Linked DNA regions of Lonchura striata. The protein of the gene in region 1 purifies or fractionates together with the protein of each later gene. This does not show direct contact. Links are inferred from orthologs where the notes say so. Each region holds a gene or a part of one and is shown on either strand. Other genes may lie near its edges. The genes, in order: AKAP11 and PRKAR1A.

The links.
Region 2: the proteins of AKAP11 (region 1) and PRKAR1A purify together in Homo sapiens (affinity purification with mass spectrometry; 3 studies listed by BioGRID and IntAct, counting the BioPlex papers as one, with this or other methods). This does not show direct contact. The link is inferred for Lonchura striata from reciprocal best matches to the Homo sapiens genes AKAP11 and PRKAR1A.

What each region holds. Positions count from the first base shown.
Region 1 is NC_134604.1:59,682,010-59,685,917, reverse strand, and holds the start of AKAP11 (A-kinase anchor protein 11), read right to left. Parts: upstream 2,218-3,908; 5' UTR 2,110-2,217; intron 1-2,109. UniProt on the Homo sapiens protein: Binds to type II regulatory subunits of protein kinase A and anchors/targets them.
Region 2 is NC_134621.1:9,548,740-9,552,647, reverse strand, and holds the start of PRKAR1A (cAMP-dependent protein kinase type I-alpha regulatory subunit), read right to left. Parts: upstream 2,445-3,908; 5' UTR 2,345-2,444; intron 1,430-2,344; 5' UTR 1,366-1,429; intron 1-1,365. UniProt on the Homo sapiens protein: Regulatory subunit of the cAMP-dependent protein kinases involved in cAMP signaling in cells.

The DNA.
Region 1 (3,908 bases):
TGAACCTCATACCACTGGCCTCAGCCCACTGATCCAGCCTGTCCAGGTCTACACACAGAGCCCTCCTACTCTCAAGTAGTTCAACACTCCCATCCAACCTGGTGCTGTCAGCAGACTTCCTGAGGGTGCACTCAATCCCCATGTCCAGATCACCAATAAAGATGTTAAACAGGACTTGCCCCAGAACTGACCTCTGGGGACACCACTAATGACCGGCCTCCAGCAGGGTTTAGCTCCATTCACCACCACTCTGTGCATCCAGCCAGTTTTTTATCCACAGAAGAGTACTCCCACCCAAGCCATGAGCAGCCAGGTTTTCTAGCAGGATGCAGTGGGAGATGGTGTCAAACACCTTACTGAAGTCAAGACAGACATCATCTACAGCCTTTCCCTCATCTAAGTGGGTGACTTTGTCATAGAAGTAGATCAGATTAGTCAAGCAGAACCTTCCTTTTGTAAATTTGTATTGGTTGGGCCTGATTCCCTGGTTGTCCTGCATGTGTATTTATAACCTTACCAAACAATTGCTATTAAAAACCAAATAAAGCAAGTCTACACCGACAAGCAGGTAGAATATTCTAATGGATCCTTCTCTATTTATCATTTCTAATGATTTATCAGTTTCACTGATCAGGTCAGCAGTCTTGAAAGTCCAGGTATGAAACACAAGTTGTCTTAACCACAGCTACCCACAACAAAAGCAAAACACATCAAAAGTGAGCAAAATACACCATTTAGGTAAGCAATAATGACAGGCCGGGTCCTCCTTTTCTTGCTTGGTTTTAATTCTCTTACATTGTATTTCTGTCACACAGAAGCAGTAATTTCAAAAGAATCAATCATTTTCTTTTCCTACATCATCACTAGCTAGTCATCACCCACAGCCTCCCCCCAGTCCCGGGTCTCGACTCTTAAATACTTCCTGGGAAAAAAAATGTTATGTTGATGTACTAGGGCTATCCACTGGTCTGGATTTTGTGGCTTATGCAATTAACCTTTAAGTTTCTGTACTTCAGTCTGTTATTTTGTACATGACAGAACCACATCCAGTAAGGTGGGGCTATTATTTTCTAAGCTGCAGCATTTTCTCAAGAAAACTTACTCCCACCTAGAGAAAATTTCACCAGAGAATACCTTGTTTAGTTCTCAAGGATTAATTAAATATAGGTAGTACCACCACTAAAATCTAACTATACGATTCTGAAATCTTACAAACATGAACCATGTATGACTCTTCCAAGTGTAACCTGAATAAATTTTGAACATTGTTACCATTTATTTCAGTATCACTGATCTTTTTCAGATACAATGTAAGTGGCATTCTTCCCTCCCTATCTCACTCTGGCAATACATCAGAGAAGAGAAGGCTGTATCTTTAAATACAGTTCGGATCTACAGCTAACCCTTTTTTTTTCCTTTTGCATACTGGATTTCTTTTGGAAACCAGAGAAAAGTACTTTGGTCGTAATAAGAGAGCCAAAGAAAGCCCCTCAAAAGAGCCAAGAAAGCAAAGGAGGAACGCTCCTTGTTCTCCTCCCCTGGGGGAGAAGAGGAACTGGGAGGAGGACATGCGGCGGGAGGGAGGGAGGGAAGGAGGGCGAGGAGACACTTCTACAGCGAAATGTTGAGAGCAGGCTGAGCTTACTTAACCCGTGCGCACCGACGGCAACCCAAACAATGCAGGAGGGAACGTGAGCTCACGGAGCCTCCGTGCACGGACTAGGACTGCACAAGCACGAGTCACTCAGCTCCCAGCGGAGACTGCGGACCGACATCCCGGCCCACGGGGACATCGGGGCCGTGGGACGGCGATGCCCGCACGCTGGGTCCGGAGCGAAGCGCTGCGCTGCCCCCTCCCCAGCTCGGGTCACCCCGGCCTCGCCCCCGGGCCGCTCCCCGTCACCCGCGGGAGCTGCGCTGCCCCAGGGGACCCTTCCCTGGGAAGGGCGGCAGCGGATGCGGCTCCCCGGCAGCCCGCGGGCGACCTGTGGCAGCGAGCCCCAGCTGACAGGCCGGCGGCGGCGCCCCGCCCTGCGCCCGAGCTCCCCAGCAGGGCGGCCCGCGGGGCAGCGACCGCAGGGGGTGGGAAGAAGAGCGGGCGCCGCGTACCTGTGGCTGTCGCCGGGAGCGCCGCCGCCTCCTCAGCGCCCGCCGCCCGCGGCCATGGCCCCGCAGCGGCGCGGCCCGGAGCGCCCGACCGGCCCCGCCGCCCCCGCCCGGCCCCGGCCCGGGCCCCGCCCCCTCCGCCCCGCCCCGCCCCGCCCCGCCCCGCTCTCGCGACGCTTCCCGCCCGGGCCCGCCCCCGCAGCTGCCGCCGCCGCCGCGCGCTCCCATTGGCGGGAAAACGGCGGCCAACCCGGAAGCAGCCGAGGCGGCGCACGGGCTCCCGGCTCCCGGTTCCTGCCCCGGCTCCCGGCCCGGCTCCCGGCCCATCCCAGCCCCCCCGCGGGGAGTGCCCGGCCGCGGGCACGGCATGGGCAAAGCCCCCGGGAGCCGTGTGCCTGCCGGGGGCCGGGCTGTTCTGCTTCCTCCGTCGGGGTCGGGGGCTGCTGCCCACTTGTTCTGGGTTCCCTTCCATGCCCGGCCGGCGGCCTCAGCACGCGGCTGCGGCCTGGATTTAGTCGGGCGAGGCGCGGACAAGACTGAGATCCTGTCTGAAAATCCCGTGCTGCCTTCCCTTCACAGTGCCGGCTTAAATTCAGTGCTGCCGGATTCCCCAGGGCACCAGGTGTGCATTTAGCCAGCAGATAGGCAATTGATTTTCACCTCCTCGTGAGTTGTTCTGCTGTGCGTGTAGGTGTAGGGGCCTGGGATTTCTTCTCGTTTGGATGGAAGCGGTAATCTCGTGTAGCTTCCCAGCATAAAACTCCATTCCAGTAGCAGCAGCCGCTCGTCCAGGCACTAACCTGGCAGCAGGGACACAGCCAGGAGATGTGTTGAATAAGGCACAGTGGACCGTCTCAGCAGCGTGGGCTGACAACTCTGTCCCCCCACAGAGGAGAGACTCCGGGAATCGGGACAGGCCTTCCCGAGAGCCGCATGCGAGGGTGAAGCTGGGGGCGGCCGGAGTTCCGCAGCTGGAGACGGGGCAGCGAGTGCCTGCTGCAGCTTCTGCAACGCAGAAAACAAAGTGACCCCAAAGCTATATTCAGGGAAAAAAAAAATATATATATATATATATAAAATATATATATATATATATATATATATATATATAATCTCCCAAACTTCGTTTACTAGGGAAGGGGTTAGGGAAGAAAAAAGTCATTAAATTAAAAGAATGTATTTTTTTCGGTGCTGAGTGGTTTTAAGCTCTAACCTACCGAATTTTACAGAGAAAAAGACAAAGAGAACTACCCTAACCCCCTCATAAATTGCACTTTTCTTCTGGATACCACCTAAGACCTATAAAAACGATGAGAATTTTTTTTGCTACTGACTCTCCCTTAATCTTCTAGATAATTCCTGCTTCTGCCTACCTGCTGTTTTTAAGCTGTGGCTTTTCTTTCTCATTTATCTTTCATGACCTCTACAATCATTTTAGACACTTCAGAAGTCAGGGGGTCCATATTAATTTTTGCCAACAGGTAGGTGAACTACATTTTCATTTACCCTAAAAACTACTAAGCTGTACAACAAAGCCATGCAAAAACTACACAGATAAAATAAATGAAAGATTGGCTATAAACTGTGTCTCACTCTGCCACAAGTCAGACAAATAAAATGTTCCACATGCTCCCAGGTCCTGCAGGTCCCTATGAGATGGAGAAATAGTAAATGAATAATAGTTTCAAATTTAACTCAAGTTAGTCATCATTTCAGGACCCATTGAAACCAGTCTGATTTGGAAATACACTGTATTTTGAACAAAAAGATTTTAACAGTTTGCTCATCTTCAGCTTAACAAC
Region 2 (3,908 bases), on another chromosome or scaffold:
CATCTGTTATGATGCCAGGTTTTCGAAAGACTTCAGCTATGATACTTTGAAATATATTCTTAAGCAGATTTTTCTCCCCTTTCAAGTTTGTACTGGGTTTCTACTTCCAGATTTTGGTAGCACGGGGTACAGGGGGGGGTCTGTGAGAAGCTGCTGGCTGCTTCCTCCATGTCCAACAGAGCCAATGCCAGACAGCTCCAACATGAAACTGCCACTGGTCGAGGCTGGGCCCATCAGTGACAGTGGCAGAGCCTCTGGGACAAGGTACTTAAGGAGGGAGGAGAAATGGCTACTTCAGCCAGACAGGTGAGTGGCAATAAATGGGAAAAACAGCCCTGCAGTCCCCAGGGTCAGTGCAGGAGGTGCTGCAGGCCCTGGAGCATGGATTCCCTGGCAGCCCGTGATACAGACCATGGTGAGGCAGCTGTGCCCTGGAGATCCACAGGGGAGCAGATTCACCCACAGCCCCTGGAGATCCACGGGGGAGCAGAGACCCACCCACAGCCCCTGGAGATCCATGGGGGAGCAGAGATCCACTGACAGCCCCTGGAGATCCATGGGGGAGCAGAGACCCACCCACAGCTCCTGGAGATCCATGGGGGAGCAGAGATCCACTGACAGCCCCTGGAGACCCAAAGAGGGAGCAGAGATCCATCTGCAGCCCCTGGAGGACCCCACACTGGAGCAGGGGAATGCAGAGTGTGATCCCACAGGAATCCTATCCTGGGATGGTTTTCTGGCAGGAGTTGTGACCATGGAAGGGAAACCAGGCTGGAGAGTAGCCTGCAGGAAGGACTCACACTGGAGAAGTCCATGGAGGACTGTCTCCCAGGGGGAAGGTGTGCAGGATGGAGCAGCAGAGACAACATGTAAGGAACTGACTGCAATTCTCATCCTCTGAGGTGAGGCAAGGCAGAGAACATCAGGAGTAAAGTTAAAGCTGGAGAGAAGGGAGAGGGCCAGGAAGATGTTTGTACGATTTAGCTTTATTTCTCATTATCCTACTACAATTTAGTTAGTTTAATTTATTATCAATTTCCCTGAGTAGAGTCTGTTTTGCCCACAATGGCAAGTGGTAAGTGATCTCTCCCTTATCTCAGTCCAGGAGCCTGTCCTTATATTTTCCTTCTGTTGTTGAGTTGAAGAGGGTAGTGATGGAGCAGTTTTGGTGGGTGCTTAGCATCTAGCCTGGCTTGGCCCACCACAGGGTTATAAAACCATTTTAAGATATATTTTTTTACGTGTACATGTATATAGACACACATTTCACATCATTTTTTTCATAAGAAAATTGACACTGGGAGAGTTAAAGAAACAGGAAAGAATTTCTCAGGGCATTTTTGGATGAAATATAAAGAAAGTTACCTGCTACAGGGAGTGTGGCAACAGCTTATTTATATGCAGTAAGATATGTTGATCCCGGGATCAGCTTTTGAAAGGGAAAAAATGAATTCAGTCAAAAGAATTTTGAGAAATGACAAGTCACTGAAGTCACATCATGGGTTTTATCCTGCGGAGGAAGCAGCAGGAAAACCCAGGGCACAGAGACAACAAAACAACGTGCCCCTCTGAATTCTGCTGCTGGAGATTACAGAAGGCTTGGATTTAATATGGAATTACCAACACTTCACGCAGGTGTCGTGATTGTCACGCTTAATCCCTGCTCAAGGACACACACACACACACGTGTACTGTGCGTTGCATAAACACAAAGCGTGGCCTTCCCACGGGCTGAGAAAGCCACGAGAAGTTCTCCAGCGACTCCTTTTGTTTGGCCAGCCCGCCCGGTGAAGGTCAGCGCTAATGAACCGAGCCCGGTGGCTCCGTGAGCGGCCACGGCCACGCCAGGAGGGCAGGAGCGGTGCAGGAAATGCAGCATCACGGACAAAATGAAAACTCCGGGATTTATTCCTACAAGCCGTTCTTTCTGCACGTCCCCAAAGCTTCCCCGAGCTCCCCAAGGCGTGGCTGCCCCTCCCAGCCCAGCCCAGCCCGTCCCTCACGCGGCGCGGGGCTGCGGCCGCTCCAGACCCGGCAGGCACCGACCCGGTACCCCCGGGGCGGGGACGGGGCCGCGGGGCACAGCCGGCACAAAGGCCCGGGAGCGCCGCGGGGCCCGGCCCCACAGCCCGCGGGGGCCCCTCGGACACTGGCCCGAGAAGGCGCCGCTGCCCCCACGGCACCCGCAGAGCCGCGGCCCCGGCTCCGCTCCCTCCGCCGCGCCGGGCCGGCCCCGCCCCAAGGCCGCAGCCTCCCGCTCCGCGCCCGTCCCGCCCGGCTCTCGTAGCGCCCCGGCCCCGCCGCCGCCCCGGGGCCGCCCGGCCGCTGCCCCCGCCCCGCTCACCTGCGGCGGCTCCGCCGGGACCCCCCGCCCGTCCCGGCCCGGCCGCGGCCTCGCTGCAGCGGCGGCACCGGAAACCGACCGGCCGGACGGGCCCCGCCCGCCCTGACGTCAATGCGCCTCGCTCTCGCCCGGGCCCGTCGCCGCGGTAACCTTAAAGGGGCAACGGCGGGCGCGGCGCGGGCACAGGCCGGGGAGCGGCGCGGGAGGAGCTTTGCAGCTTTAAGGGCGCGGGGCTGGCGGGAACGGGGTGGGGTGTGGGGTCCGCTGAGGGGCGCGGGATACCCTGAGGGGAGCGGGAATGGCTGAGGGGGGAGGGATACCCTGAGGGGAGAGGGAATGGCTGAGGGGAGAGGGATACCCTGAGGGGAGCGGGAATGGCTGAGGGGAGAGGGAATGGCTGAGGGGAGCGGGAATGGCTGAGGGGAGAGGGAATGGCTGAGGGGAGAGGGATACCCTGAGGAGAGAGGGAATGGCTGAGGGGAGCGGGAATGGCTGAGGGGAGCGGGAATGGCTGAGGGGAGAGGGATACCCTGAGGGGAGAGGGAATGGCTGAGGGGAGAGGGAATGGCTGAGGGGAGAGGGATACCCTGAGGGGAGCGGGAATGGTTGAGGGGAGAGGGATACCCTGAGGGGAGCGGGAATGGCTGAGAGGAGAGGGATATCCTGAGGGAAACGGGAATGGCTGAGGAGAGGGAATGGCTGAGGGGAGAGGGATACCCTGAGGTGAAAAGGAATGGCAGAGAGGAGTGGGAAACCCTGAGAGGGATCCTCTGAGGGGAGCAGGAATGGTCGGGAGGAGAGGGATCCCCTGAGGGCAGTGGGATCCGCCAGGGCATCAACTCCACACCGACTCTCCTGGAAAGGACCCGCTTCAAAGATCAGAGATTGTTATAGGTTGAGGGAAATAAACGATACTCAAGTTTGGCAAAGATTTCACTATAATCAATGTAAATCCGTGTACAAATTATTCCATGTGTCTTTATAGCTGAGATGAGCCCTTTGACTCCATTCACTTTGTCTCTTCCAAGCTGTAAGAAATCATTTAAATGATTTTTATATCTGGACTGTGCTGGCACAGGCATAGCCCATCTCTGGGTTTAGGAAGGAGAAATAATCCCTAAAAATGAGCCCTGAACTGTGCATTTGCTGGTCTTGCAACGCAGAACATAACTTTTTACTCTAATGTTACATCATTTCAGCCAGCAATCACGTAAAGTACAGTGAAAATTACTCTCAACAGCAACAGTTTAATGTATATTATGGTATAAGAAGTTTGTGCTGTTTGTGCAGTGACACACAAGCCATCAGGAACTACCTGCTGAGGGGTTTCTTGTTTATTAGCTCTTATATTAAAGAAATAAAGGATAATAACTTGGGTGTAGATCTTGGACCTGCAATTCTGACAGACCCAGTCCAGCCCCTGAGCTCACATTCCCCAAATCTTTGATAACTTCTGTCTGATCTGGGTTAATTAGAAGCCAGGGTCCAGGATTTTCTGACATTCAGCTCAAAGCTGGTACTTCTACGAGAAATATAAATAAAATAATTACTATTTGTGAAACAC